Linked DNA regions of Diceros bicornis minor. The protein of the gene in region 4 purifies or fractionates together with the protein of the main gene of each other region. This does not show direct contact. Links are inferred from orthologs where the notes say so. Each region holds a gene or a part of one and is shown on either strand. Other genes may lie near its edges. The genes, in order: RPP25, RPP38, POP7 and POP1.

Region 1 (6,658 bases), on a different chromosome or scaffold from region 4:
TGGCTCTCCCTAGGGACTCATCAAGAACAAGAAATGGGGGAGGGCAATCAGTGCCAGAGTCTGGATAACACGGCTCGCTGATCCAAAGCTTAAGCAGACATGGGGGGGCAAGTCCCTGAAGAGCCTCTCCTGTCAGCTGCAGAAACCTACCTCTTGCCACCAGCAGGATTTATTTCAGGGTTCTGCCAGCAAAGTGACTTACATTTTCCCCCATCTCCTCCTTTCCAGGGGTGCTGTCGAGTTGCATGGGGTGGGGTCTGCTTCTGAGATCCTGGAGCTATGTGCCCCCTCCTTTACTGGCTAGAGTTCTTCCAGCACACAGCACTTCCCCCACTCTCCCCAGTTGACTTGGAGTTGGGCAGAGAGGCTTATGAGGCTGTTATCTCTCAACAGACAGCTGTGCAGAGCTGCAGGCCACAGCTTATCAGGGATCCTGCAGTGATTCACGGCCCAAGTCCCAGCTTCTCTGCTGAATAGTAATTTCCAGCAGTGGATTTGTGCTCAGTCTCTCTCCTCCCCCTCTCCCAAGGGTGTGCTGTCCTTTCTCAGAGAAAGAGCAATGAAGGGGAGATCCTACCCATGGGTACAGAGGGCTTTGTGCCAGCCTTCTGGATAAGGATGTCTATTGGCAAGAGGCTGCAAGTTTAGGGACCCCAGCAGGGTCTGCCACCCTTGGCAGTGACCCCCAGGAGTTTATCAATGCTGGCCTTCCTTCTCCTCCGAGAAAAGCAATTTGCTGCTCCCTTTCCCTTAGTAGTAATGCACAAGGGGACAAAGGCTCCCTTCCGGTGACAAGCACCTGAGGCTAGAGCCAGCCAGGGAGCGCTGGGAGAGAGGGAGAAGACAGGGACCAGGTAATGTGTCCCTTGCAACAATTTGAAGCTGTCCAGTCTCTGTGCCTGACCCTGAATACTCCAAAGGCTAAGGATTCCAGGCTGGAGGGGACTGAGACACAAGGGGGCAGGCCAGAGCAGTGTCTGCACAAGCAAGTGGTTAGGAAAAAACATGGGGACAGAGCCATTTTTCTGTTTGTTTTATTGGAAGCAAGACTCTAGCTGTGGGGCTCAGGGGAGGAGGCATGGAGACTTGTCCTGGGTCTCTCCCTCTGGGCCAGCTTGGGGAAGGGAGGACGTTGAAAGAGCTAGAGCCCATGGAGATGCCTCCTGCCACCATGATCCTAGGATGATCCTTAAAAGCAGGGGAAGGAAAACTAGAAAAGAAACTGTGTCCTGCCGTGATGGGCAGGATAGGACCCCCCACAACTCAGACTCCCCTGCCCTCAAGCAATCAGTTTCTCACCCCTTGCCCTCTGCTGCCAACGGTGGGGGTGATTCAAGAGCTCTCCTCGGCTTCCACACTCGGAGCCCCCCACCTGAATGCTGGGGGTCCCTGAGCAAGGCTCGAGTCCCCCTGCCCACCATTCCTTCCCTGAAGAAGGTCCCAGTATGGCTCAGAAAAGCTGAAGGTGGAGTTCTGCGTCTTCAGGCAATACACAGGTGGAGGAGTAACCACCCCACGAAGCTTCCCTGGGGTCCCTCCCTTGTCGCCTTGGGGTCCACGCTGCCAGTCTGAGGAGCTGTGTTCAGTTGTGGGCTCTAGCGTACTAAGGCGTGAAAGGCTGGAGGTGCGTCTCAAAGTCGAGGCGCTGGGGGTAAGATACAGTCCATCTAGGTGGCCCAGAGCCGGGAGTTCTCAGGCCGTCCGGTCCTCTTCCGCAGCACCTGGCTCAGGTTGTGACCGCTTCGCGGAGCCTTCTCCAGCTGCGGGTTCCCCAAGGCTCCTCTTGGTCGTCGGCACCGACGGCTGGGATGAGGGGCCAGGATGGGGGTTCGGGGGCTGGTAGCCGGGTTGGCGCGGATCCAGTGCATCCTTGGAAAGTAGGATGGCGAGGCTGGGCACGTTCTTAAGTACACTGAGACTGGTAGCCGGGTCGCCAGGCTTCTGATCCGGCGTGGGCCCGGGCGGGAGGCTCTGCCACACCTCGCGCACGCTCCGGTAGCGCAGCCGCGTGACCTGGTGCAGGCCCGCCAGGCGGCGCTTGAGGATCTCGGCGCACGTGACGGTCTTGGTGGTGGCCCGACCGCAGCCGCTGAAGACGATGGCGCGCGTGGCTGGCTGCGCCATGCTGGCGGTGGCGAAGGCCAGCAGGTTCCGGATCTTGCTGCCCTCTTTGACCCGCATGTGCACGGCGCCCGGTGCCAGGTCCGCGAAAGGGCCGGAGCTCAGGCCGCCCCCTTCGGCCCCGTCCCCCACCGGCGCCTCCTCGGAGCGCACCTTACGGAAGTTCTCCATGCGCCGTCGTTGCCGGGACCGCGGGGACGCGGGTTTCGCCATGGGGCCGCCTCAGCCCCGGGGCTGCATGGCCGCCAGTCGAGTCCGGCAAGGGCCGGCAGAGGTAAGGGTGCAGGAGAGGCGTGGACGCTGGCGGGCGGGCTGGGACGGCGCGATTCTTCTCTCCCACTTCTCTCCAGTCGGCGCTGCTCTACTCCGCGCTCTCGGCGTCCGGTGCTCCGCGCCTTTAGCGGTGGCCCCGCCTGGGAGCCTGGGAGCCCCCGCCCCTACTGCCAGGCCCCGCCCCTAACTCGGCCCGGCCCGCCCCGGTCCCAGCCTCACCAGCCTCTCGGATCCAGTCAGGTCCTCAGCTAAAAGGGCGTGGGAGCGGCGCGCACGCTGGGGCGCAATGGCAGCGTCCGAGGGTGGGTTGTCAGGCGAAGTTCCCCTATAATGGCCATCAGTCGTCTCCGAGTCAACCCTCATAAACGGGCAACCTAAATAAAAACTGCGTTTGCGGTGCAAATGCCGCCACAAGTCGGGTCCCCAAGCCCTTCCGCGTTCAAATTGAAGGCTACTCCTTGTCCCCTCCCCAGGAGAGATTTCTAAGCAGCCTGCTGGGGCCTCTTTCCCCTACTCCTCAGGGGAACCCCCCCTACTCCGTCCCTTCCGCTCCCGAGCCGGTATTCTTGCCTCAAGGACAGCCTGTGCACGGTCAGCAGAGTGCGGGAGGCGCTGGCTCTGGTTCCGCTCCGCGCCTTCCCTGGGACGACTATTCGCGGTGTTGTCTTCTCGGGGCAGCCGAAGACCGAGGTTTCAGCCTCCGCGCGCCTGACCGGAGCTGGAGGCTCCCGGACCCACGTACACCCCTGGCGTGTGGGAAGTGAGGCTCTGGGTCAGGCTGTTCCCTGAGGTGAATGGGAAGAGAACAAGGAGACCCCTTCTCAAGGGGAGTTAAGCTCCCTCCACTCGTGCCTGAAAGCACACTATTAGAGCTGCATGCTTTAGGGTAAGCTAAGCATGCTTCCCTGCTAACGTGAATCCCTTCTTCCCAGGTGGAATTCGTTGTCAGTCAGCCTAGGCCTCCTGAGACCCAGTGGGGTCCTTTTTCAGAAAGAAGATTGGTGAAGGCAGGTTTTGAGGAGAATGGAGGAAGGTGGGAAGTTGAAGCTTTGGGGGCGTTATGAAGCTACTGGGTGCCCCTCTCTGGGAACTCCACTCGACAGGGAGAGTGGCCCCGAATCTCCTGCCGGGAGAGATGAACAGTGAAGAGAGAGGTGACGTTGGGATTGAAGGACTGCTGATGAGAGGCAGCGGGTTTGAAAAGGAGCTGGCTCCTCCCTAGAACTGCCCTGGGGCATCGCCCTTCATTCTTCCACCCGCCTCACGCACACGCACAGTCAGAACTGAGAGAGAGGGGCACACCTGATCCGGGTGGGGCTGACTACCACGCGGCGTAGCCGGGAGGCGTGCGGAGAGCTGCCTTGGGCATAACAGTGCCTGGGGGAGCTGGGCCCCAGTCTTGAGACCGGGCTGCTGGGGTCCCCCTCTCCATCTTCAGGCTCTCCTTGCCTCCTCAGCATCTTTTATCTTCTAGTTTTCGGGCCTTGCTGTTCAGAACCCCGGGCTGACCCCATTACTGCCCCTTGGGAGTGGCTGGAGCAGGTGGACCTTTGCGCCCCCTCTCCGATCTCTTGCACGCTGGGGTCAGGGGCCCTCAGGGTCGCGTTCCGCGCCAAACCTGGACTTCGGCTCCGCCCCAGCTCCCGCGGGCCCCACGAAGAACAGCCACAGGAGCTGGAGGCACAGCAGCCTCGAGAAGACACACAGACTGTCTGCAGCGCGTTGCGGGGCGCGCGGAACCTCAGGCTCTGTAAGACCCGGGCAGTTACGGGACGTAAAAGACGGCAGTTTCGGCGAGGCCTGAGAAAAAGTGCTCGAATGGCCGGAATGCACGTTAGAACGGGCTGGTTAGGGAATAAGCGAGCTCTCCGTCCACGGGGAGATGCAAGCCTAGGCTGAACGTTCACTTGGAGAGGATATAGGCAGCGGTCTGCAGTTTGGAGCAAAGGGCTGTGAGCTCCAGGTTAGCGTAGGCTGAGGGTGGGGTTGTTCAGCGTCCACCTGGGTTGGTCCTCAAGGCACCGCTCCCCAACCCCCCTTCAACTGCCGCCAGCGGTGGAAGACTTGGATTCACTTTGCTCCCCAGTCAGTGAAGGGAGAGCGTGGAAAAGGCCCGCACCGCCCCCCCGCCGGTCCCCTCCCCTTCCTCGCTCCCTCTGCAGCACTTAAAATGTAAATGTACATCGTGATTAGCCGCCGGGTCGCTAATTACCGCTGAAGCCATTCATTATATTGTCAGCGCGCGTTCTAGCCGGCTGGCTGTGCGCCCCTGCCGGGCCGCCGAGTGGCAGGGCTGGCGGGGGGAGGGGGGCGGAAAACTGTGAATAAGGGTAATGAGGTTGGCGGAGAGAAAGCGGAGGCAGGAGAGGGGCCAGTAGCCAGGGAAAAATGGGTGGGCGGTGAAGTAGAAACGAGGGGCGGGGCAGGGAGAAGGGAGAAATGCTGGAGGCAGCTAGGAATGGGGGCGACGGAGAGATAGTGAGGATACGGGGGGCTGGGGGCGGTGTGAGACAGGAAACCTGGATGAGCGGGGAGAAGGGAGAATACTCGGGGAGGCGGGGAGGAACCCCGGGGAAGGGGTGGACGCGGTTGGGAGGGGAGTAGAGGGCTCAACTGTGCGAAGGTGGGTAAATACATTTCAGCGTTTGTGGTGAACACCCCCCGACAGTTAGAAACGTGGAAAGGCAGTCAAGATTTTCTGTTAAAAGAGCCGGATGCCAGCTATACACACAGTAGGACCACAGGTATTTTTTTAAAGGGGTGTGTGTCTATTTCCGTGTGTGCGTGTTAGTAGAGGTAAAGGTCTTTTTTCATAGCTGCAAGAAAACAGCACACTGCCTCTGTTACCTCTGAGGCCGCATCCAGTGTTTTTGGGCCTCTTGAAGAAAAGAACTACTAAATATGAATCCAAAATTAAGCACAGAGTCGTGGAGCAGCCTGTGTACGTGAGGTACTGACGTTGAAGCCCGAGCTTCATTAGCTTCTTTTTGCCTCTATGTGACCTTGGGCAATTTACTTAAACCCCCTGCCTTGGTTTTCTCAGCTGTAAGATGGGGCTAACATCAGAACCTACCTCATAAAGTGGTTGTGAGACATTTATAAGTCTTAGAACCTCGGCTGGTAAGTTCTCAGGAAATGTTAGCTAATATTATTTTTCATATATTATTTGTGATTAAAATACATTTTAAAAATTTATTTAAAATATAATATATAATTTATTTATTTATTTATTTTCCCCCAAAGCCCCAGTAGATAGCTGTATGTCACAGCTGCACATCCCTCCAGCCGCTGCATGTGGGACACGGCCTATGAGGCCAGAGAAGCGGTGCGTGGGCGCTTGCCGGGGATCCCAACCTGGGCCACCAGCAGCGGAGCGCGCGCACTTAACCGCCAAGCCACGGAGCCAGCCCTACAATATAATATAAAATAAAGGGAGGTGAGGGGGAAAGAAAGCTGATGAGCCCCGCCCCCGTGGCTTATGCGCGCGCTCCACTACTGGCAGCCTGGGTTCGGATCCCAGGCGCACCCCGACGCACCGCTTCTCCGGCCATGCTGAGGCCGCGTCCCACATACAGCAACTAGAAGGATGTGCAGCTATGACATACAACTATCTACTGGGGCTTTGGGGGAAAACAAAAGAGGAGGATTGGCAATAGATGTTAGCTCAGAGGGGGTCTTCCTCAGCAAAAAAGAGGAGGATTGGCATGGATGTTAGCTCAGGGCTGATCTTCCTCACACACACACAAAAAAAGCTGATGAAAAGGAAAGGAAATAGGCAAAGCCTTGGAAATAGCAGTTTTCCTAATATGTTAGGGACTAGCGAGGGGCAAATTAGACTCTCTTCACTGTCAGAGGAGGTGGTGGAGTGGCTAGGCTGGAGCCCCAGCCTCACCTGGTGCAGCATCAGCTCCTGCTCTGCAAATGGACCCTTCCAGAAGTACATCCCGCCTCTCGCGTCTCGTGGACAGGTCTCTCACCCCAAGACTGGGAGAAAAATCCTAGCACAGGGCAGATCTCCTCCTCCTCCAGCTCCTGGGGCTTTAGGGAGCTCCTAAAGACCCAGGTCCTGTCCCAGCCTCTCTGGGAGGGGCTTGGGAGCATGCAAAAGAGTCAGGCCGGAAAGTCAGAGGGGGCCAGAGGGAGCTCAGATTTATCGGGCACCAACCAGTGCCCAGCAGAGGGCCAGGTACTCTCACAGATCTATTCTCTGATTTAATCTTCACAATTTTCCTTTCCATCATTGTTTGACAGATATGGAAACTGG
Region 2 (8,512 bases), on a different chromosome or scaffold from region 4:
AGGCAATATATGGATGTTTTACCTTATTGCATTCACAGTGAAATTCTATTTATTTCATTTATTAAAAATGTTCTGTGTTTCTACTTGTTCCTAATTATTTATCCTTTTAATGACTGGATGGTATTAACCTTACAGATTTGGTACCATTTTCTAAACTGTTCTCTCGTTAGGCTTCCATTCATCCATTCAACAGATACTGAGGACCTCCAATGTGCAGGCTGGGGTCCAGGCACTGGGTTCAGCAGTGAGCCAGTTCCCCCCGCTTAAGCCCCTGTGTCCACCTGCACAGAGCTCACAGTCTGTGGGGCCCAGAGGCCGCTGCCAGTCATAATCACCAGGTGTGATTCTTTAAGAACTGGAAATGTAATGTATGCACATGATTACACATTCAAATGATACTTTCATTCTATGCCCTTCTGTAAGTCTCTCTCCCTCCCTAGACCCTAAGCTTCTTGTACATCCTTCCTAAAACATTTAATACACATGCAGCAGTACATTCCCCCTTCCTATGGTTATTCCAAGCTGCCTGCTCCTCCAGCTGGCAATTTGATGAAAACTAGGGAAATTTGGTAATGAAATTTAAAGATATTAATCCCTTAAGAAAAAATAACAAGAAGGATCCTTGCTGCGAAAATGTTATGAACCACTGGTCTAGGAAGCATATCGTGTTTCTCCCTCCCAGAGACAAGTGCATCTCTCTTCCCTTGATTTTCTTCCTCACCTTCTGCCTGGGGCTTGGCTAAGAACCACAGGGACCCATGCGGCAAAACTAAAGGAAGTGAAACAAGCCAGCCCTGGAGCAGTCTGCGGCTTGGAACTGTCCCTATTTTCAGGTAGCCAGACTTTCTCATTCCAGATCCTCCCTCATTCCAGGTCATTTGTCCTGCCAAGGCCTGCCCACCCTGAAGTGCCCCAGGCAGGATTAAGATTTAAGTCCTCTCCAATTAAACTTCTGCTTATTAGGCTGGCTACTGATGTTCAGGAACAAGTGTCTCTGTGAAGTATGTCGGAATTTAGAAGGCACCTTCTCCATGTATTGTTTGATTCTCACAGAATTCCTGTATAACTGTCCCATGTGTGGAGGACAAAACAGTCTCAGGTTAAATATCTTGCCCAAAGTCACAGCTAGTTTTCCAAATCCAAATTTTACGTGCTTTCCATCGTGGCTGCACCTCAAAGATAACCTGTGGCGTTTTAAAACATACAGATGGTTGGTCCTTACCCCAGATCTACTAAATTGGGATCCTGGGGAATAGGACCAGGGCATCTGTACTTTAAAAAGCTGCCCAGGTGAGTCTGATACAGAACCAGAATTAGGAACTGCTGATGTAGGATGGACGGCCTTTCCACACTGGACAGACCAGTAGAGGCCTCCAGTGTTCCTCCTCAGTCACCTTCTAACAGAAAATCAAAATTCAGTTCCTTGGGGTGAGAGGTCAGACCTTGTTCGTGTCAGCACTGCCCCTTCTAGAAACTCGGTGTCTGCTGCCTAACCCGCTTCCGTCACATCAGCCCCACCGCGCAGCCCTCCCATCCCCCGTCATCTCCATGCTCCCCTCAAGCTCAGGGAATCAGGAGGGAGCTCATCCAAATCCAGTGGTGACTGGCAGAGGCTGGCATCGGGTTTACGGTGATCAGGAAGACGAGCAAGACGAATATGATCTAACAGAGCTCTTGCCAAAATCCAAGTCAGTTAATGTGTCTGAGCATTGAAACAACACAGAATCCTTACATAAATACTTACAGTTACGTGCTCTGGAGAGAGAGCAAGATAGGCTTTAACTCCTCCTGTCTTCAGAATCTGGAGGGGGAGAGGAGAGCCAAGGAGTTTGGAAAAGAAGAATCTTATGTCATATTATTCAAAAACAAAGGAGTGACTGACAAGGAGAAGTAACAGTAACTCTTTAAGGTGACATACATGGCTCTCCACATCCTGGCCCCCATCGCCCCACCAGCCTCTCCCCTTAGCTGCCTCACCCTGCTGGTTACACCCCCCACTGAACCACATACTATTTAAGGAGGCCACCAGTTTCTCACCTCCACGTCTTTATACACATATTCCCTCTGCCCAGAATACCACTCCCACCCTCACCCCCATCACTGCCTTACTTCCACAAGTATTTCTGGATTATCCACAATGCACCAAGCCATAAAGTATTAAAGTAAAAACAGTCGCCTCCCTGAGCTTAGAATCTATGAGGAAGTCTTATCAGCAAATAATAATACAACGAGACGTGGCGCACATTAAGGTCAAGAAACTACAGGATCCTAAGGGAACATATACCAGAGGCCTGACTTAGTTGAGGGGATCAGGAAGGGTCTCTGGAGGCAGTGACTTTTAACCTACATCTGAAGAATGCTACCAAAGGGAGAACGAAGCAGAAAGAGTATCCCAGAGAACAGCATTAAAGATAATGAAATAAGTTCAGTGTCGCCTGGACAGAGATGCTAGAGAATGGTGAGATAACAGGAAAGGCAGGTAAAGAAGAGACAGTGAAGGTCCTTGTACGCCTTATAGTGGGAAGCGACTGTAACGTTTAAAGCAGAGCGGCAGAATTAGAAAGACATTCCAGAAAGGTCTTTGTGAATTCGGGCCTGGGAGGGTCCTGTGCCAAGACTAAAAGCAGCAAAGAGGCTCCGGGAATAGTCCTGGTAAGACATGACCGTGGCTTGCGGTAGAGCCACCGCAGAGGGGATGGACAGAAAGATATACTAGTTGAAATAGTTCAAAGAGAAAATCTACCTGACTTGAGCGATCGACTACGAGTAAGGCAGAGGAAGGACTCAGGGAGGCCTCCTGGTTTGCGGATCCGGTAGCGGAGTGGAGGGCAGCCCCAGTTCCCAGTGGCTGCACTCCCGACCCTGAGTTAACCCCTCCCTAGGGACGCCGCCCCTCTATCTGGTGCCTCCGTATTTACTATTTAGCATACGCAGGTGTGTTATGCTGTCGTCCGTCTCCACCTCTAGGTTCTGGAGTAACGAAGGGCCAGGATGAGGCTTTATCCTAGTATTTCTCGCACCCAACAGACGCTCAACTGCAGGCAGCGAGCGGAGCGGGCGCCGACGCCCGGAGGCAGGAAAATACGCGCGTCCGGGCGGGGACGGGCAGGCCGGGATGCAGGGGGGTCCAGGGGACGTCCTGGAGACCCTGGGTGTTCTCACTCCGCCGAATCCTGGGGCCGATCCCACCTGGGCGGCCCCTCCTGGCCCCGGGGCCCGGCTCCCACTCACCACCGCGGGAGCTCCGGCTCCACGTGCGCCGCGACGCGCGTGCGCAGAGCCCTCGCTCCGCCGTCCCACCCACCCCCACCCCGCCTTCCAAATGCTCAGAGAACTTCACATTTCATCCTTCGGCGTTAGCTCACTCACGATGCAGAAAGTCAGGCCACGGCGTCGCGCGGCCCGGAAGCGACGGCGCGAGACCGGATCCCAGAAACCCTGAGTTCGGCAGCGCGGCTGGAGGCTCCCTCAAGTTCTCTACAGCGGCAGTGCGCAGGCGCAATGTCTGTCTCGCGAGACCTGACGGTTGCCACGGTAACCTGCTGCCCGCGTCTCCGCTGCGTGGTCTGGGGGCCAGTCTACCGCCCTTAATGTCCTGAAGGCCGTTTGTCACAGCTCGCAACCTCTCCTTTCTGCCTTTCTGCGCGTGGCACTCTTAGCCCTCTGTCTCTCCTCGCTTTTCTGTATTTGGCTTGCCTCAGGCCCAGTGCCCCCATTTCCATCGAATCCCTGCCGAATCCCCAGCAACAGGAGAATCAAGATAAATGAGAGATAAGGGGTGGATTGAGGGGGGAAAAACGTGCTTACAGGCAACAATGTAGGCACTCTTTAGCTCCCTGAAAGAGAAGGAGAGTAAAGCCTGCTTTCAGTTTTGCGACAGCGGTTCGGAAAGCTCCAAATGTCTGCTCCAACCACTGGAGACTTATGGTTACGGATGGAGGCCCTGGGAAGTCGCGGACCACTGTAAATCAGCTGAAGACCATTTTCAAGTTCAGCCATCTGAATCTGTTTGCCCTGGGCACGAACTTAGAGGACAGTAGGTTGCTTCTGACCTAATTTACACCTTTCGTTTTCTTTTCCAGTCTAACTTAGGCTCTCTTCCTTCTCCAAACATCTTCCTCCCTTTCTCAATCACTGCGTTGCTTGCTTTGTTTCCCCTTTTTTGGTCTAGTTTCTATATTTTCAGCTTTCAACACCTACATCCTAACTGGCCATAAAGTCAACAAAACAAAAAACCGTGTTGCTTTTTGTCCAAGATGATTGCAGGTTACCCAGGGGAAAGTTCAGTGTGGTTTTTTAAATCACAGAAAGATTAAAAATAACAAAGTTACAATGAGTTTGAGTGTAACAACAGACTTTATTTCATAAAATGAATCCCATTGGTTCATTGTGATGAACTGCAAACATGTAATTCTAAATTAGTCCTTTAAGCTGGGAGACAAATAGAGACACACATGTCTAATTGAAATGCTAGAGTAATGAGAAGGAAATGTGTATAAGTTTTTGTTCCCCTAAGGGTTTAGATTTATGGTTCCAGTTTGTATAGTTAGATTTATAGCATCATCTCAATTTACATTTGCTCTATGAAGATTACCTGCCATTACATTCCATGGCTCAGGAGCCAGGCTGCCTACGCTGAAACCCTAACTTCATCAGTAACTAGGCATGTGACCCTAAACCAAGCTAATTAACCCTCTCTAGGAGGTGATAAAAATAGGGCCTGTTGTGAGGATTAGAAGAGATAATCTGTAAGATGCTTAGCACAGTCCCTAGCACATAGAAAGTGCTTGGTAACTATAACTATGATGAATCCAGTGACACCCTGAATTAAGAATTAAGTTAATAAAAATTAACTGTAGCCTCTATGATTTTAGTGCTTGTGTTCTATTTTATGACTAGCAATATAATTTTCACAAGAATTTTGCTAAAATGTAAAACTACCTTTCAAAGGTAACTTCTCTCCCATTTGTGTCACAAAAATATTACAACAAAAAAGTCAAAAGAAAAAAATTTTCCATGACTCGATTACCCCAAAACACATTTCCTCTCAGTGTTCCCTTCTAATTTGTTTCACATTTGTGCGTACATTGACATTGTTAAAATAATAATGTAGATACAATTTTGTGTTCTGATTTTCATTCCATGTAAGATTTTTTTCCATGTTTTTCAAGCATAGTTTTCAAATTGTCACTTTAACTCTTATATATTTCATATCCTATACTGAATGATCAGTTTTACTTTGTAATGACAGCTGTTAGTTATTTTATCCTGAAAAAACTCAGCCTAACACAGCATCATCACCACCACCACCTCTCAGCCTTCCAGTGTGCTCAACTGAAACTATGGGAATGGAGGAGAAACACCGAGGTGGGAGTCTCCCACCGGATAGGAAGGCCTTGTTCCAGGAGGAATTACAGGGCATTCCACCAAGATTCAGGTCAGATTGCAGTCAAGCCTTTCCTACGTGGCTAGGTGATGTGAAAGGTTGTCAGGGGGCCTTGGCGGAGCTGTCCTATTAAAAAAGAGAAATTTGAAAGACCTTAAATCAGATGGTAACAAAGCTAGTCTGAGATTTTTTTTAGTAGACGCTTTTTTAGAGTTTTTTTTTTTTTTTTTCAGAGAAGAGGCCTAATGTGATGTGATGCTACACTTTGGATTTTCCTTAAGTCCTAAACTGCCAGCACCGATTTTGAAAATAAAGTATCTATGTGATATAAAATAGGCTGCAAGTAACTGTTCAAAATATACCAGAGGTATATATAAACAGGCCCTATAATTTTAGAATTACTTAAAGTATAGATATTTATATGAATTAATCACAGAATAATTTCTGAAGCAATTTGAGAGCCAGTGGTTGAGAAGTACTTTTAAGATAGAAATGTGTACATATGTCTGTGTATATGTATTAGGTAAAAAAAAATCAATAACATTATACTTTGTTAGTTCAATATTTATTGAGTATCTTTTATGTGCTAGATGCTAGATATGTAAGAATGAAGCAACTGTTTTTCTTTCTTCCCTCCGTCCCTCCCTTTTTTCCATCCTTCCTTCCTTCCTTCTTTCCTTGCTTCCTTCCTTTTTTCAACAGAGAACAGTGTTTACTGAATTCTAAGTGTTGAGGATAAAGCAGTGAATGAAAAAAGTTCTAATGGAGGAGACAGACAATAAACAAAAAAGTAAACTATGTAGTATGTCAGATCATGAGAAGTGCTATGGACAAAAGTAAAGCAGAGAAGAGAGCAAGGGGGTGCTGGGATGCGTGACGAAAGGCCTCACTGAGAGGTGATGTGTGAGCAAAGACCTGGAAGAGGTGAGGGACTGAGCCGTGCAGACACCCAGGGAAGAGTGTAAGGGCCCTCAGGGCAGGAGTGTGCTTAGCCTGTTAGAACAGCAAGGAGGCCCGTGTAGATGGAACCCTTTGAAGGAAGGGGAGAATGGGAGGAGAGGAGAGGAGAGAAGGCTACAGGCTTGTAGACCAGACTAAAGATGCCTCTTGTCCTAAAAAACTTCTGGAGGAGGTGCCATCTAAGCTGAGTCTTGAAAGAGGAATTGGCTGGTTAATAAGGTAGGAGAAGGGCATTCTGGACAGTGGAGCGCAGCAGCTATCTATAAACCTGGAGAACAGGGAATTTAAAGTAGTTTGGTGTTCCTGGAGGAGAGTGTGCACACTTGTGGGAAGGAGAGCAGTGAAATCATGGACCACCACACATATTATTCAGAGGCCCTTCTGAGAAAGAGAGCCAAGTTATCATTTCAGACTAGATCTCGACCCTGGCTGCATCATTCCCGCTGTTTGCTCCCTACCCCACAACCTTGAAATCAGAATCTCTGGTGGCAGGAATCAGGCATCTGGTTTGTGTTTGTGTTTTTCCTTCCAGATGATTGGATGTGCAGCCAGAGTTAAGAGCTCATCTGGACATCTTGCCAATACTACCCAAAGCAATCTAAAGATCGAATGCAATTCCTGTCAAAATTGTAATGGGTATCTTTTGCTGGAATAGAAAAACCAGCATGAAAATTATTATGGGATCTCAAGGGACCCCAAATAGCTAAAATAATCTTGAAAAGGAAAGACAAATTTGGAAGACTCACACTTCCTGATTTTAAAAACATACTATAAACCTACAGTAAGTGAAATGTTACAGAGCTGACATAAAGACAGACATATAGACCAATGAAATAGAATAGAGAGGCCTCACATATATGGTCAATTAATTTTTGAAAAAGGGGCCAAGGGCCAGCCCCAGTGGCTTAGTGGTTAAGTTCAGCGTGCTCCACTGGGTGGGGCTGGGATCAGTTCCTGGGCACCAACCTACACCACTCCTCTGGCAGCAGCCATGCTGTGGTGGCGGCTCACCCCCAAAATAGAGGAATATTCGCAACAGATGTTAGTTCAGGGTGAATCTTCTGCTGCAAAAAAAAAAGAAAGAAAGAAAGAAAAGAAAAGAGGGCCAAGACCATTGAATGGGGAAAGGACTGCCTTTTCAACAAATGGTGCTGGGAAAACTGGATATCCACATGCAAAAGAATGAAGTTGGACACTTATACAAAAAGGAACTCAAAATGGATCAAAGTTCTAAACTTAAGAGCTAAAACTATAAAACTCTCAAAAGAAAACTTAGGGGAAAATCTTCATGACACTGAATGTGGCGATGATTTCTCGGATATGATGCCAAAAGCATAAGCAACAAAACAAAGAATTGATAAATGGATCTTCATCAAAATTAAGCCTTTGGTGCATCAAAGGACGCTATAAGAGAGTAAAAACAAAACCCACAGAAGGGGAGAAAATGTTTGCAAATCATAGATCCGATTTGCAATACCACTTCACACCCACAAGGATGGCTATTATTAAAAAACAGAAAGAATAAGTGTTGGTGGGCATATTGAGAAATTGGAACCCTCCTACATTACTGGTGGGAAGGTAAATTGGTACAACTGCTGTGGGAAACACTTTGCCAATTCCTCAAAAAAAAATTAAACATAGAATTACAATATGGCCCAGCAATTCCATTCCTAGGTGTTTCCTCAAAAGAGTTGAAAACAGGGACGCAACTAATGCTTGTATGCCAGTGTTGATAGCAGCATTGTCCATAATAGCCAAAAGGTGGAAACAATTCAAATGTCCATCAATGGATGAATGGATAAAGTGTGATATATACATGCAATGGAATATCATTAAGCCATAAAAAGGAATGAAGTACTGCTACATGCTACAACATGGATGGACCTTGAAAAAGATTATGCTCAGTGAAATGAGCCAGTCACAAAAGGACAAATACTGTATGATAGTCACATTTCCATGAGGTGACTTGAACAGGCCAATTCATAGAGACGGAAAGTAGAGTAGAGGTTAGCAGAGCTGGGGGAGGAGGGGATGGGAAGTCATTGTTTAATGGGTATAGCCTTTGTTTGGGAAAACAAAACAATTTCGGAAATCGTGGTGGTGGTTACATGGCATTGTGAATGTACTTAATGCCACTGATTTGTAGAGTTAAAAGTGGTTAAAAGA
Region 3 (7,934 bases), on a different chromosome or scaffold from region 4:
CTCCATGACAGACAAAGGACCCACTCCCCAAATCCCAGCATCCTAGGGTGAAATGCAGCTTCTGAAACCATCTAGAGCGGGGCTGACCTCCCCTGGCATGGGCATCTCTTCTACAACAGCCCCAGCTGGACATTTCTGGTGATGGAGCAGGCACACACGGCCGGCAGAGAAGAGAAGTCTGCTGAAAAGCTCTTCCTTTCACTGGATTCAAGTAGGCCTCCCAGGACAGCAGAATAAGGTTAATCCTTTCTACATTACCACCTTTATGTAATTTGGCCAAAACATGAACCTTGAAGCTGTTACACTAAGTGAAACAAACCAGTGACAAAAAAACCAATATTGTACGATTCCTCCTATATGAGATTCCTAGGAGTCAAATTCAGAGAGATAGAGAGTAGAATAGTGGGTGCCAGGGCTCGGGGGCAAGCAGAGTGAAGAGCTGATGTTTAATGGGAACAGTTTCAGCTGAAATGGGGAAGATGAAAAAGTTCTAGAGACAGATGGTAGTGATGGTTATACAACAACGTCAAAGTATTTAATGCTATAGAACTGTACACTTAAAAATGGTTAAAATGGGGTATATTTTACCACCACTAAAAAAAAAGTTTAGGGAAAAAAAGACATTTGGGGATAGCAACTGCAGACCTAAGTCTTCCCTACTCCAAGAAAAACACCTCACATTCCTTCAAACAAACCTGTGCAGAGGCTGTTCTAAGCCTCCTCCAGTTCACTTCAAGAGAGGGACTTCTAGAGGGACAGACGAGTCCTGTGGGCAGGGAAGGCTGCTGTGGGGACAGGGGAACAGAAAAGGGGACCACTCACCCCCCGCCCTTCCAGGGAGCGGTAAAGGCGGCTCAACGCGGTGCTCTCCACTTCTGGCCTTCCCCCTTCTGTCCTGGTTGTAAAGAGCAAACTGAGGAGAAGCGGCTCCCAAGGCAAGAAGCAGGGACACTGCAGAGGCAAGGGAGAGGCAGTCAGTGCAGAAAGGAAGCAGAGCAGCAGCTGGAGAGAAAGGCCCCGTCTCTGTGCAGGCCCAGCCACAGGAGGGCCTGGTCCTAGAAGCTGCTGGCTGCCTGGCCCTTCCTCAGGCTAAAGGAAGTACACATGCTGCCCCACAGTTTCCACCCCTCCAAACAGGTGTCTTTTCCACATGCTTCCTCAAAGCCTCCACCGGGACGACTCTGCTCCCCAGGAGACATCTGGCAATATCTGGAGACGTTTTTGGTTGGCATGATTGGGAAGTGCTCCTGGCATCTAGTGGGTGGAGGCCAGGGATGCTGCTAAACATCCTACGATGCACAGGACAGCACCCCGCCCCCAACAGAGAATTATCTGGCCCAAAATATCAATAGTGTCACAGCTGAGAAACACTTCTCTAGGCCCCAGCACAGGTAATGCTTAGTCTCTGTTTATGGGGAAGAATGGAAGACAAGAAAAACCAAATTTACTCTAGTTCATTCTCCCTTCTGAAGAACAAGGGAATCATCCCTAATTACACTGTCCCATGAGAGAAATCTGAAATCCTGCCAGGAGGGAAATCCTCGAGAAAAGAATAAATTAAAAAAAAAGTGACTTAAGTTTCTCTATCACAAACTCTCAAAGCCAAGTGTTTGGATCCCTTTCCAGTGAAGGAAAGAGCAGGAGGGGTGGCAGGTAGAGGACTGGGGACAGCATCCTTTCCAGGCTACTTGATCCAAGGGTCTCCTCACAGGCTCATTCCAGCTTCGCCCCCAACCCTCAGCCCGCCCTACGCATCTGTCTGCCTAGTCCATCTGCTCCCTCCCAGGCCGCGTTTTTTCTCTCTGGCCTCAGTATACCCTCACTCCCCTTGCATCTGTATTGCTATTAAAAGGCTGCCCCCTGCCGGAGCCAAGGGGAGAGGACACACACTGGTCCTGGTGCTCACAAGAGGCTTCAGGGAACAGGAGCAGGGCCTGTTTTCTGGGGTTCAGAACTCATGGAAGAAGGAAAAGATCCACAGACGAAGCGGTCCCGGTACACACTAAGTAAAGAACATTATTTCCTCATTCCATCACCCCTAAAATTAGCCCCGATCCAAAGCAGTGTGCCTTGGCACGGAAAGGTATCACTATTAACAGAAGTAGAGGCCTAAATCCCCCAACGTCTGAGCAATGCCCAGCCCAAAGCCTGTTGGAGGTGACTCCACCCTTTCTCAAGATGGAAAGATTCTCCATGCGCGGTAGGATGAGAACTCTGAGGCTTAAAAGGGGTGCAAGCCTGCATGCCTCCCGGCAGGTCAGTTATCCCAGCTCTCCACTCTCTGAGACATCATGACAAATAACGCCCCTTGGCATCTGTCTGCTAGTTAACAGTTTTCAAAGCGCTTCCACACTTTACCTCATTTGATCCCTCTGCCCACTTGCCCAGTCTTGGGCTCCAGCCAGGTAAAACAAGGAAGGGAGGCTGCAGCTGCCGGGACGGGGGACCCCGATGGCCCCAAACACTCTATCCGAGGCTGGAGAAAGGGCTGCATAAGCAGTAGGAACCACCCTAAACTCGCAAGCATACTTTGTGAGTTTTAAACCACTTTAAACTTCTCGTTAGAATTTTTTAAATCCTTCCTATAGCCACCCCTTCTGCTCTCCTCTGCTCTAAAATGGGGCTCTTTTTTCCATCCTAAACTCCAACCACAGAAGTAAAATCGAAGGCAAACTGAGATCCTTTAATTCATCAAATCGCACACAAGACTCACGCTTCCACCGGCTGAAAAAGGCAGGCCAGAGGTCTAAGAACTCACTTGACGGTAATCACCAAAGAGACTCTTGAGGACCCTGGTCCCCAGGCCACAGCAGCAACACAAAGTTCAGATCCATCCCAAACCCTTCCCAATGCCATGAGAGACCCACAGTCTAGGAAAGAAAACTGGAGCCAGGGTGAGGGTGGGGGGCCTGGGGCTGCACAGGGATCAGCACAGACAAAAAAGCCAGACAGCCAACTCCCGCACTGCGAGCGGGGAGTCAGGGGACCCGCCTGGTGGTACCCATGGTGTTTCAGCTGCAGAGATAAGGGGCGGGAGGCTAAGAAGCAACCGGGGTGTCAGCTCGGAGGGGCGGCGGAGAGGCTGTGCGGAGGCTGCTGGTCTTTTGGGAAAGCAGCCTTAAGAAGCAAGAGGGGAGTCAGATCGGCGAGGGCGGAGGAAAGAAGCGGCCAACAAGTATTGATTTAGCATCTCTCAGGGCCGGGCGCGCTGCTGGACCAGACCTGACAGCTTACTGGGAATTCTAGCCATGACCGGGTAAGAGGTGCGAGACGAGGGTCTCTTTAAAGTTAACTTGAAAAAATATTCAAGGCAAAGTGTGCGGGGCCAGGGGGCTGCTGCATCAGGGGAGAAGGGCTGGGAAGGGCCCAGCCTGGCGACGGGGAACGCCGAGGTGAGGGAGGAGACCCCAATGACCAAGCACTAACGCCGCTCGCTGGAGGGAAACTGAGGTGAGGACCCGGCCGGAGAGCTCGAGGGCAGAGGAGAGGCTCCCCCGGCAGCCGAAGCCACCGAACGCCCGGACCGCAGCGCCGCAGGACCGGCCGTCGCCGACAAGCCCCCGGCGGCACGCTGGGGAGTCTCCGGGGCGCGCCGGGCCCTGGGGTCGGGCCTGGCGGGGGCCGGGCGGGGGCCCGAGGGGCGGCCGTTAGGGGCGCGGGGGAGGGCGGCGGGCGGCCTGAGGACGGCGTGCCCTTCAGGAAGGGGGCGGCGGGGGCGCGGGGCGACTGCGGCCGCCCCCCAGGGACCGGCCTCCCGCGGGGCCCGCCGGCAGGCTCGGGCGGGCGGGGCCGGGGCGGGGGCGGCCTGCGGAGGGGCCGGGGGAGGGTCCGCGCCGGCGGCCCGCGCGCCGCCCGCCCGCTCTGGCTCTCGCAGGCTCGGCGCGGCCGCCGCGGCGTCGGGGGCGGGCCGGGCGGGGGCGCGGGGCCCGAGCGCTTACCGCGGCGGGGGGCGGCGGCGGCGCGGGCTCCGGGCCGGGCGGAGGGCGGCGGCGGCGGCGGCGGCGGCGGCGGCGGCGGGGGAGGGGGCGCTGGCGCTCCCGCGGCGGCCGCTCCTCTCTGTTTGTGTTTGTAGCAAGATGGCTGCCCGCCTCGCACCACGTGACGCGGACGCGGGGCCGCGGGGCCGCCCCCGCCGCCGCCGCCGCCGCCGCCGCCGCCGCCGCCGCCTGCCTCCGCGGCTCCGGCCGCTCCGACCCGCCGGCCTCGCGCGCTCCCTGCCTGCCCAACGGGCGCGGCCCGGACGCCCGCCGCCCCCGGACCCCCCGGCACGTGACCCGGGAGCCCGGCTCGTCACGTGACGTGGGGCCGGCTGCGGCCCCGGGGGGAGGGTGGGGTCCCCCGGGTGCACCCTGCGCTGCCCTTCGGCACGTGACGCGCGACCATCGCGACGGAGGCCGCCGACAGTGACCTCGCCCGTCTCTCCCGGCCAGTCGACTTCCTCCAGGGAGCCCGCTTGGATTGAAGGAGACACCGGACACTCCAAGTGGTGTGTCCATCCGACGGCCTGGGATACATGAAATAAGTGAGGAACCGAATGATTTAGAAATAGTCTGAGGTGGTACTGGCTGGTAAGAGCTGGAGTTCGTCTGGCTCCGCCACTGACTAGCTCCTGGACTTCGGGGGCCAAGGAATTGATGCTTTTGAGCCTCAGTTTCTCTTTTATAGTGAGATGTTAATGCTGCTTTCCGTCGCATCCCCGGCCCCCATTCCACTCCGATCCCGGGGTGCTGAAAGCATTTAGAATAGGTGAATGTGAAAGGCTTTGAAAAGAGAGAAACTACTATGCAAATATGCGACGTAGATTGACACCTCCTTTGTTTAGAAAAGAGGTTTTTGAGAATGACTTTTCCGGAACTTTTTAGGATGAAAAAGCTTTGTGTGTGTTTTCATCATTTTCCTTGGAAGTCATTCCAAAATGTATATTCTACGTCCCAGCTTCCTAAAGCAGCGGTTACCAAATACACAGCAATCCTCCTCCAGACAGAGGAAGGTAAGTTCTGACCTGGAACTTGAGTCCCCACGGGGGACAGTTGTGCCTTAATGGAGCGCAGACCGCGGGAGCTCCCACGAAGGTCCTTTGTCCTGCGCCAGGTACCCCGCAGGCTTCTGTGCCCTTGGAGTTTTAGCGTCTGCGTTTTTCAGTTCCCTCCAGTTTCCTGCAGCCAGGATTCCTGCTCCAGTGTTGTCAGTCAAGCTGCTTGCTCACAGGCTAGAAAGGCAATTGTTTAAAGCAAGGGCTCCAGTGCTGGTTCCATCCATTACTCACTGTGGCCTTGGGCACATTCATTAATCTCTCTCTCCTCTGGATTGTGTGATAAAGCACTTAACACGTGCTTGGCATAGGGCAGGCACTCCACGAATGTTAGCTAATAGGGGCTCCTGGTTCCACAGGATCCACAACCTTCAGGCTGTTAACACTGTTTGAAAATGTATCAACACAGACTTCTCCCAGGATAAAGTTCTTAACTTTATGACAGCTGTTTTTTCTTACTCAAAAGCTTTTGTTGTTGCTTTTTGTTTGTTTTTTAACTTTTCTAGATTGTGTTGGGGGTGGCTGAAGTTGCCGGCAGCCTAACCTCTAAACGAGGTTTTAGCATGTTTTAATTGTTAATCAGCAAATATGAGATTGTAGATTATGGTAGACAAATGGTACAGAGGAAAAAGAAGGGGACCTCTGTAGAGTGGAAGCAACTGGGGACAGTTGTGGCCTGTGCTGAGCTGGAAAGAAGGGCAGGATTTGGGTAGATTTAGGAAAAGTGGGCATGGGCTTGAGAATAGCCACAATCCACCTGGTGGGAGAAGATGACGAGAGTTGCCAGTTGGATGAGAAGTGAAGTGAACTTCAGTTGAGGGCCTCGAATGCCACCACGAAAATGTTTTTTCTTTTTTTGGTGAGGAAGATCAGCTCTGGGGTAACATCCGTTGCCAGTCTTCCTCTTTTTGCCGAGGAAGATGAACTCTGAGCTAACATCTGCGCCCATCTTCCTCTATTTTGTACATAGGATGCCGCCACAGCATGGCGTGATCAGCGGTACATAGGTCTGCGCCCAGGATCCGAACCTGCAAACCCCGGGGCGCTGAAGTGGAGCATGTGAACTTAACCACTACGCCACCCAGCCGGACCCACGAAAATGTTTTTGATCGGAGAATAGCACCTACTAGATGCAGCAACACAAGAAGAGCACATTGGGACTCCGGGGCCTCGGTTCCCTCTGGACCAGCTTGTGACCCTGGAGAAGTACTCTCCTTCACTGTAAAGTGGGAATGCTGCTGCTGCAGATGACGCTAGAAATTGAATCATAGGAGGGCCCTCTGAGAAAGGAAACTATGAAATCAGACTCTTAATGTCCCATACTGAACTTAAAAATTACAAAGAAATCACTTGGACCTAAACTATTTTTGTTTATTCAGGTGCAACACTGTAAAATGTCTCGATCTGTGTTGTTTTAAATTTGCAAGCTTTTGAACTAAACAAAGAGATTTGGTTAGATGATTAACGGAGATGAAAGGGAGTTCTCCAGGAGGACTAAACAGCTGAGCTCTGCCCTTTTTCTTTCTTGCTTTTTATTTTTTTTGGTGAGGAAGATTAGCCCTGAGCTAACAGCCATTGCCAACCCTCCTCTTTTTGCTGAGGAAGGTTGCCCTGGGCTAACATCTGTGCCCATCTTCCTCTACTTTATATGTGGGATGCCGCCACAGCATGGCTTGATGAGCAGTGCGTAGGTCTGAGCCTGGGATTGGAACCTGCAAACCCCAGGCCGCCGAGGCTGAGCACGCGAACTTAACTGCTATGCTGCCGGGCCGGCCCCCTGCCTTTTTCCTTAATGGCAGATTCCTCTGTGGTGTTCGCCTTGGATGAAATACAAAAAGATAAGGACCATCTAGTGTCAAATTGGTTTATTACAGAGCCTGGCTTCACCCACCTAAACTGTGAACCTTCATATTTATCTGGATGTCAAAGTTTGGAAAACGTATTTTAGATATCATGAAAAGACACACAGTCTGAATCATGGAGTGATAGTTCATAAACTGTGCTTACTGTTAATTATCAGACAAATGGGCCCTAAAATTAATATATTGCATTCAGAATTACTTTCTGCCATGAGCTAAGTTCTTCGGTCAACCAAACGTAACTGCTTGTCTAGTCACCAATGACCTCCACATTGCTGAGTCCACTGGTCCATTATCTTATGTGGCTTGTCAACAGCATGTGACACAGCCGGTCACTCCGGTCCAGGAAGCGCTTTCTTCACCTGGCTTCCAGGACACTGTATTCCCTTGGTTTTCCTCCCACCTCACTAGCTGCTCCTGCTGAGTCCTTTGCTGGTTCCTCCTCTTCTCCCGTATCTCCCAGGGCTCAGTCCTTCCAGACGTATCGGTTGTAACAGGAGGGACTGCACAGGATATGAGCCCCACTGCTAGACATTCCTGCCTCAGCTCAATCGTTGCTTCCTTTGGAAAACCTTAGATGCTCCAAGGTCATATTGGCTGTTCTTCTTTGGGGGTCCACCAAATCCTGTACGTGCTCCCTCCTGAGCACTGGTCACACTCTCTTGCACATCTCATTTGCCTTCCATGCTAAACTATGAGCTGCTTAGCACAGTATTCTATGATGTCACCAGTATTCCAACAGCCTAACAGGTCCCCTCAATCCAACTTTTATTGTTGAGTGGTGGTTCATGGTATGGCTGTAGCACAGTTTGGTGAACCAGTCAGCCATTGAAAGACACTTGGGTTGTTTCCAGTTTGGGACTGTTACAAATAAAACTGCCATGCACATTTGTGGATATGTCTTTAAATGCCCAGGAGTGCTGTTGCTGAGTTGCATGGTGAGCGTATGTTCAGTTTTAGAAGAGACTGCCAAACTATTTTCTAGAGTAGCTGTGCCCTTTAACGTCTCCAAGCAGTGTATGAGAGATCCAGTTCCTCTGCAT
Region 4 (8,328 bases):
TGTACCTCTACATAGAGCTACCATGAACGCAACAGCTACAAAGGCAAACTAGTACAGGTGTGCTGTACTAACACCTCAAAGAGCAGGTAGCAATGCCACCGGTGACATCATTTTCCAGACTAGTGAACACTCCTTGGTAAAGTCCCCAAAAAAAAAGGTACAATCTTGCCTTGATTTATTGCATTAAAACCATGCAACCAATATTTTGTGCTTTTATGTAAAACAGAGTTAGGTACTGGGCTACCGTGGGACTTTCTTGCACACTGCAGGATGTCTAACCTCCCTGGTCCCTGCCCAATAAATGCCAGTGGTGTCACCCCATCATTATGCCAACCAAAAACACCTGCACGAACTTCCAAACTGCTATCCCAGGATTTGCACCACTCCCACCAAGTGCCACTGAATTAACTACCACCCATTCACCTACCTCCTTTCCAACGCAAGACTTCGTATAAAATTAAGAGTAACTTATGTGGTGTAGTGTTTAAGGACTTTCAGTTTGGAGTTAGAAAGACCTAAATTCAAATACCTTCCTTAACACTTTTTAGCTATATAATCTTAGGAAAATTCCTTTCCCTCTTTGAGCCTCAGTCTCCTCCTCTATAAATAGGAATAATCACAAGGTTGCAGTGAGAATTAAATAAGGTAATGTACATAACACACTTAGCATGGGGCTTTGCATAAACTAAGGGCTCAGTTTATGTTAGCTATTACTCTTAAATAATAAAAGAAATAACAGAGATTTATGTCATTTCACTTTCTCATTCCACTCTGCTTTCACCTAAATCAAAAGCAACTACATCTACACTCAAAAACATTTTTCAAATTAAAAAATATGTAGGTAGTAAATGGAGTTCTGCAGAACCAGTTGGCTCGTGAAGGAAATGATTCAGATCAGTCTGCATTAAGAACCATTCAAAATTATTTCACAAAACCATTTAGTCCACCTACTATTACCTCCTTGAATCAGAACTTCCTGAGCAAGAGAGAGCACTACCTGGGAACCCTAGCTCTGCTCAAGACTAGAACGGGCCAGAAGCAGGCTGGGACTCAGGGATTAGGGTAACCTTTGGAAGTCACATCTCTGAGCTTAGGTTCTAGACTAAAAAATTAGCAGACTGAACTAGCAGTGGTCCTCCAACAGTTCTGACAGCAGAAGAGAATGAATATAGAATATATCCTTATGAAGTCTGAGGATTTAGCTTAAAAGAGGTTCCAGAAGGAATCTTAACTTCTACCTTAACATTCAAGTGAATTTTACATCTATTCCTAATATTCACAGTTTGTATTTGTTTTCATATTCATTCAGTCAAAACTTTAATGAGCACTAAATATGTGCCAGGCTTTATAAAACTGTTTTCCCTCCAAATATTCAAATAAATTGGATACGTCCTGTTTCTCCTATAGTTTAGTATCTCCTGGTTGGTCAGATACACCACTTGGCATAGTAGACTCCCGTTTGAGAATCTGGGAATTAACCAGGTAATTTCTCATTTCTTCTCTAAAAAGCTGGCGATTCAGACTCGATATAAAATCTGCCTCAAGAATACAGGTATCGGGCCAGCCCCGTGGCTTAGTGGTTGAGTGTGCATGCTCCGCTACTGGCGGCCCAGGTTCGGATCCTGGGCGCGCACCGATGCACCGCTTCTCCGGCCATGCTGAGGCCGCGTCCCACACACAGCAACTAGCAGGATGTGCAACTATGACATACAACTATCTACTGGGGCTTTGAGGAAAAAAAAGGAGGAGGATTGGCAATAGATGTTAGCTCAGAGCCAGTCTTCCTCAGCAAAAAAAGAGGAGGATTAGCATAGATGTTAGCTCAGGGCTGATCTTCCTCACAAAAAAAAAAAAAATACAGGTAACTTGTTTCACAAGAAATATTTTACACAAGCTGAATTATCTGTAATGCTCCAAGAGAGCTCCTAATTTAAAGAATCATATGGCGAATTATTTCGTAAATAAAAAGCGTCTCCTAATTCCCATTTAATCAAATTTAACAAGCTTTTGGGTACCTACTATGTGCATAATAGTTTTGGACTGTGTGTATACCAAATTAATATAGGAATGTGGCCTCCTTCCTTAAAGAATTTGGTCATGTTAGGCAGCTAGCATTTATTGAGAACTTTATGTGCCAGGCACTATTCTACATGCCTTCCTCATTTAGTTCTCACAACTCTGTGAGGGAGGTACTAGAACTATCCTCATTTTATAAATGAAGAAACTGAAGCAGAGAGAGGCAGCATGACCTGCCCAAGGCCACTTGTGATTGTGCTGGGATTCAAACCAGGCAGTTTGGCTCTACTCACTATTTTTAAAACACAAAACAATTATAGAATAAGATCACATATAATAAAACACTAAATTTTGCAGTATAGCACAATAGGAAACTGAATAAAGGAAAGAAAAAGTGTGAATCTGCAGAAAAAGTCAACAAGAAAATAGGATTTCAGTTAGTTGGAATTTGGATAGGGAAGAAAGAGTATTCAGGAATCTACTGTGTGAATTCGGGAGTGAGGACTCTGGACAACTAGAGTGGGAAGGGAGGACAAGAGGCTAAAACTGAGTATTTGGCAAAAGGAGGTCAGACTGGAAGGTCTTTTATTCCATGCAGAAAGCCCTAAACCAATGAAAAAGCTCTCAAGACTCTTGAGCCGGAAGTAAGAAAGCCAAAACCTTAGTAGTACTAGGACAAAATGAGGGGGACTAAAAAGGATATTCTTATATTATGTTTTAGCAGCAGGGGAGAACAGGGATCTTACCTCGCTTTTTCACTGTTGCATCTCCAGTACCTAGCAGAGTGCCTTGCACAAAGTAGAAGCCCAATATACATTTGTTAAACGCACACGTGCACGCGTAAAGGAAGGAGTGAGGCGTGCCTATTACGCATACATTAACAGAATAAGAAATATTTAGCCAAGTACCACCTCTTCTGACACAGCATGACTGAATATCTGTGAAGAGACCAGCTCTGGGGCCATGTGCTGGACCAAGATCAGTATCTTCCTTTTTTGAAATCAGACCCCAGTCACCAAGGCTCTGCTGAGATCGAAAGGGAACGCGTAGAGACCTTGTAAAGCTCGAGGAGCACTCAAGACAAGGGAACATGGGAGGGGCGGGAAGGTGGACAATGCCCAGATCTCAGCGTGGTCCCCTGAATGACCCGTCTTATTCCTTTAGGGTGGCAGGAGAAGGGTGCAAGTCCATTCCCAGGGTGGCCTCCGCCCGGCCGCACAATGCGGGAAAATGACAGACGCAGCGGGCTCGAGCGCAGGGCCGAAGGAGGTACGGGGCCAGGCAGAGGGGCCCAGGCGTAGGCAGCAAGGGAAGAGGCGGTCAGTGGGTCTGAGGGAGAGAATGTGGGGAGAGGAGGCGGGCCAGAGAGCGGGCGCCGGGCTGGGGGCCGCCACACACATTCCCCGCAAACTCGAGGACCCTCGGGGACACCAGCCCATCATAACCTACCTGACAGGAGCTCTGGGGGAGGAAGCCAGGGCTCCCAGGCTCAGAATGACAAGCTCTGCGACAGCCTCCTGCAAAGCGACTTGCGCAGCGAGCGAGCTGGAACGCGCATGCGCCAGTCCGGCCGCTGCCTCCACGTGGCCTGGAGTCTCACGGGGACTACAACTCCCAGAATGCCGAGTGAAGCCGCCGGGGAGACGCGTTTACTGCGGAGAGTCTGTGCTGGGCTGGTTAGTCTCGAGCGCGAGTGGTGGTGGTGGACGGAGTTGTTTTCTCGGAAGGGCCTTAAGAGAAAAGGACTAGTCATGTCGTCCTTGATTAGAAGGGTGATCAGCACCGTGAAAGCCCCAGGGCCCATTGGTCCCTACAGGTAATGGGGCATGTGGGAGCGCGGACGGACTCCGGGCGTGCGGGGTCAGGGGTCCCGGACTGACCACTCCGGGTCAAAGCTGGGGTGGGCCTCGGGGTCATCGGCCAACCTCGTCGACGCGCGAGGAAACTGAATCCGGGAAAGGGAGCGTGCACCCGGAGACCCACAGCGAGTTAGGAGCCCCACTGGGAGCGGGGGACTTCGCCCCGACCTGGGGCTGCCTGGCTTCGCAGCCCAGTCAACCATACGCTCCTTTCGGTTAGAAGCGGTCCGTTTTTTGTTTTGGGACTGTTTTTTTGGTAACAGCTTTATCGAGATATAATTCACATATCCATAAAATCCACCCCTTTAAAGTCTACAATTCAGTGATTTTTTTTTATTGTACTCGCAAAGTAGTACAGCCATCACCACTATATAATCCCAGAACATTTTCATCACCCCAAAGAGAAATCCTATATCCATTACCAGTCACTCCCCGTTCTCCTCTCCCCCCAGCTGCTGGTAGCCACTAATCTACTTTCAGTCTCTATGGATTTGCCTGTTCTGGACATTTCCTATAAATGGACCTACAATATGTGATCCTTTGTGAGTGACTTCTTTCACTTAGCATAATGTTTGGTCTAACCCTCTCTTAATTTTAAGGAGTAATCCCATCCACAGATGTGGGTGTCCTCCTGGGGAGAGCCGAGTTCTTTTCACAGACATACTTAGCAAATCCCTGCACATCTACTGGAGACACTGGTTTTTAGGACACATGTAAATGCATTGTGATGTTTATGAATTCATTGCCCATGCTTATTCCCACTAATAAAATCAAATACAAATCACAGCAAAGATCATTTTCTAAGATGGCCTGACATGCTCTAGCTAAATATATGTATACTGGTCAGAAAGTCTGCCCTATGTACATTTATTTCCACTTGTCAGAAGCACTGTTAAATAGAAAGCTTAATTCCCTTTTTTAAAACTTTGTTTTCTTTTTTTTTTTTTTGTGAGGAAGATCAGCCCTGAGCTAACATCCATGCCAATCCTCCTCTTTTTGCTGAGGAAGACCAGGCCTGAGCTAACATCTATTGCCAATCCTCCTCCTTTTTTTTTTCCCTTTTTCTCTCCAAAGCCCCAGTGGATAGTTGTATGTCATAGTTGCACATCCTTCTAGTTGCTGTATGTGGGATGTCGCCTCAGCATGGTCAGACAAGCTGTGCGTCAGTGCCCTCCCAGGATCCGAACCTGGGCCGCCAGTAGCGGAGGGCCGGCACTTAACTGCTAAGCCACGGGGCCGGCTCCTAAAACTTTGTTTTCTTAAAATGTCTCCACTTGAAAACCATTGGATCTTTTCATATGCATCGTTGGACACTTTTTTCTTAATTTTTGTTATTTTTAATTTTTCAGTATACACTGAAACCTTTTTCCATTTTTCCTTTTTATTTATTTATTTATTTATTTATTTATTTATTTATTTATTTATTTTTTGGTGAGGAAATCAGCCCTGTGCTAACATCTGCCAATCCTCTTTTTTTTTGCTGAGGAAGACTGGCCCTGGGCTAACATCCGTGCCCATCTTCCTCCGCTTTATATGGGACGCCGCCACAGCATGGCTTGCCAAGCAGTGCGTCGGTGCACGCCCAGGATCCAAACCAGCGACTCCGGGCCACCGCAACAGAGCGCGCATACTTAACTGCTTGCACCACTGGGCCAGCCCCCATTTTTCCTTTTTAAAATATAGTTTATGGTATCTGTTCACTGTTACAAGAACTACGCTGGAAAACTTCTACAGCTGAAACATTTGCGCTATGACAGACATGCACTGAGTACCTGGTGCATGCCAAGCACTGCAGGGCATACAAAAATGTTTAAGAAGCCATCCAGTGTGAAAGACATTCACGCATATGAGGGAAAGAAAAAAACATTTTAATTTAGTGCATGCTGTATGGCATGCACCGTGACAACCACCTTCTCTAACTCCCATCCCCTTTTGTAAAAATAAAACTGAAGCTCAAAATGACCTTGTCCAAGGTCAGACAGTCTATAAGTGACAGAGCTTGATTTGAACAAGCCCTAGCTCCCTCCTCTATACCACACTGCCATGAGAAATAGCACTTATATGTGGCAGAACTGTATTTATTATAGTAGGGTTACAAATAAAATGCAGTGGGAGCGAGGAAGCAGTGGGGAGGGAAAGTGGCAAAAGAAGAAAAGAAATTGATGCTAACTTGGGGCAGAGGGAGAAAAAGAAGATTTAAGAAGGCTCCTTGTTGGGTCCGGCCCCGTGGCTTAGCGGTTAAGTGCGCACGCTCCGCTACTGGCGACCTGGGTTTGGATCCCGGGAGCACACCAACGCGCCACTCCTCTGGCCATGCTGAGGCGGCGTCCCACATACAGCAACTAGAAGGATGTGCAACAATGACATACAACTATCTACTGGAGCTTTGGGGAGAAAAAGGGAAAAAAAGGAGGATTGGCAATAGATGTTAGCTCAGGGCCAGTCTTCCTCAGCAAAAAAAAAGAGGAGGATTGGCATGGATGTTAGCTCAGGGCTGATCTTACTCACAAAAAAAAATAAATAAATAAGAAGGCTCCTTGTGAGAGGTAGTCCTTGATTTGGGTTTGAAGGTTGGGTTTGCCATTTACAGTACTGTTGTGAAGTTTGATTTTTAAATTACTTGGTTAAGGACTTCAACAGGAAGTCATGAGGTGAAGGGCATTCCAGAGGGAGGGAGTGACTTGAGGCATAGAGGTGGAGGAATACATGGCATAAAGATTTTTTGGAGGAAGGTTTAGTAATCCAAGTACCACTCTTAGTCGTTTTTTTATTTTGCCAAATCTGTGTACCACCTATATTATAATTTACTTAACACTTTTCTTTGAGATGGCTCACTTTATTTAACAGATTTAAAAAGGAAACTTTACAGCAGTACTCTAAATAGAAAACAACCTAATAGAAGGTAACAGTAAAAAATAAACTCAATTAAATAAAAAAAGTTATTAAATTCTAGCTGCTTACTGCAGTTGGCTCAGAACCCAAAGCCTGCTCTCTTTTTGTTAAAAGTGATAGGTTTCTTGGGGCCAGCCCAGCAGTGCAAGCAGTTAAGTGGACGCCCTCCGCTGCGGCAGCCTGGGGTTCGCCGGTTCTGATCCCGGGCACGCACCAACGCGCTGCTTGGCAAGCCATGCTGTGGCGGCGTCCCATATAAAGTGGAGGAAGATGGGCATGGATGTTAGCCCAGGGCCAGTCTTCCTCAGCAAAAAAAGAGGAGGATTGGCAGACGTTAGCACAGGGCTGATCTCCTCGCAAAAAAAAAAAAAATGATAGGTTTCTTTAACTTGTTTTCTAATAATTTTTTTTTCTCCTTCATGTAATCAGAGGATTGAAGTCATAATTGCGAACATTTATTGATGCTTACTCAGCACTGGGCACTGTTCTAGGTGCTTTATGTGCCCAATTACTATTACAGTCCCTATTTTTCGGATGAAGAATCTGATGTATGCAAGGTTTTGCTCAAAGTCACACCACTGGGAAGTGGTGTGACAGAATTTAGGCCGTCACACCTAAATTCACCTTAGGCTGTGAGCTCCAGAGCTCGATCTTTAATCATTCTGTCCCTTGCACAGAAGAATTGAAAAAGCATTGAAAAGGGAATCATTCCCTTACTGTGATTCAATGTTTGTGTATTACCTGTACTTTGTGAAACACTGGTTAGGAGCTGGACTTTGAACTTTTGTTTTGCCTCTTGCTAAAAATTAGCTTTTAGCAAAGTCTGGATTATGGTGGTTTCCAGTGCTAGGCTGAAGAGTATAAACTTTATTTGGTATGCAGCGAGGAGCCATCAAATGTTTTTGAAGAGGAATTGACATGATCAGATCTCTTTTTTTTTTTTTCTAAGGAAGATTGGCCCTGAGCTAACATCTGTTGCCAATGCTCCTGTTTTCACTTGAGAAAGATTGGCCCTGAGCTATCATCTGTGCCAATCTTCCTCTGCTTGTATGGGGGTCACTGCCACAGCAGGCTGCTGTGAGTGGTGTACGTCCTCTTCCAGGAGCGAAACCCTGGGCCACCAAAGCGGAGTGCGCCAAACTTAACCACTAGGCCACGGGGGGGAGGGGGGCCACATCTCTTTTAAGAAGAGAATTCAGATAATTTGAAGTAGACAATAAGAATAGTTAAGGGGGTATTACAGTAAAAGTAAAAATCAATAATCTTTCCAATTTCTGCCCTGATCCCTCTCCCTCAATCATCCACTGGTTTTACTTTAGAACAAAAGCAACCCTTAACAAAAACAAAAACAAAGTGATTATAGAGCCTGGAGCATACACCTTCCTCAAGTGTGTACGTTGTTCAAGAAAGAAAGCATGACAGTGATACCCCTGGCTGACTCGGAGGTGAGAGTCAACTATCTTTATAAAGCTGCAAGCAAAAAAGGAAGGAATCGTTATATGAATATACTAGTATGACTTGAGAAAAGCCATCAACCAGCTTCATTGTGTGGTGACCTTCC

Evidence for each region.
Region 1: the proteins of POP1 (region 4) and RPP25 purify together in Homo sapiens (affinity purification with mass spectrometry; 3 studies listed by BioGRID and IntAct, counting the BioPlex papers as one, with this or other methods). This does not show direct contact. The link is inferred for Diceros bicornis minor from reciprocal best matches to the Homo sapiens genes POP1 and RPP25.
Region 2: the proteins of POP1 (region 4) and RPP38 purify together in Homo sapiens (affinity purification with mass spectrometry; 3 studies listed by BioGRID and IntAct, with this or other methods). This does not show direct contact. The link is inferred for Diceros bicornis minor from reciprocal best matches to the Homo sapiens genes POP1 and RPP38.
Region 3: the proteins of POP1 (region 4) and POP7 purify together in Homo sapiens (affinity purification with mass spectrometry; 3 studies listed by BioGRID and IntAct, with this or other methods). This does not show direct contact. The link is inferred for Diceros bicornis minor from reciprocal best matches to the Homo sapiens genes POP1 and POP7.

The regions. Positions count from the first base shown.
Region 1 is NC_080744.1:67,855,167-67,861,824, forward strand, and holds RPP25 (ribonuclease P protein subunit p25), read right to left. Parts: upstream 2,518-6,658; 5' UTR 2,335-2,517; coding exon 1,693-2,334; 3' UTR 1,018-1,692; downstream 1-1,017. UniProt on the Homo sapiens protein: Component of ribonuclease P, a ribonucleoprotein complex that generates mature tRNA molecules by cleaving their 5'-ends. Also a component of the MRP ribonuclease complex, which cleaves pre-rRNA sequences.
Region 2 is NC_080775.1:15,572,522-15,581,033, reverse strand, and holds the start of RPP38 (ribonuclease P protein subunit p38), read right to left. Parts: upstream 3,473-8,512; 5' UTR 3,370-3,472; intron 3,233-3,369; exon of another isoform or gene 2,931-3,232; intron 1,802-2,930; 5' UTR 1,745-1,801; intron 1-1,744. UniProt on the Homo sapiens protein: Component of ribonuclease P, a ribonucleoprotein complex that generates mature tRNA molecules by cleaving their 5'-ends. Also a component of the MRP ribonuclease complex, which cleaves pre-rRNA sequences.
Region 3 is NC_080765.1:5,134,702-5,142,635, reverse strand, and holds the start of POP7 (ribonuclease P protein subunit p20), read left to right. Parts: upstream 1-4,343; 5' UTR 4,344-4,990; intron 4,991-7,934. UniProt on the Homo sapiens protein: Component of ribonuclease P, a ribonucleoprotein complex that generates mature tRNA molecules by cleaving their 5'-ends. Also a component of the MRP ribonuclease complex, which cleaves pre-rRNA sequences.
Region 4 is NC_080760.1:16,996,624-17,004,951, reverse strand, and holds the start of POP1 (ribonucleases P/MRP protein subunit POP1), read right to left. Parts: upstream 3,564-8,328; 5' UTR 3,466-3,563; intron 1-3,465. Other genes in the region: RIDA (2-iminobutanoate/2-iminopropanoate deaminase), read left to right, coding at 3,768-3,832. UniProt on the Homo sapiens protein: Component of ribonuclease P, a ribonucleoprotein complex that generates mature tRNA molecules by cleaving their 5'-ends. Also a component of the MRP ribonuclease complex, which cleaves pre-rRNA sequences.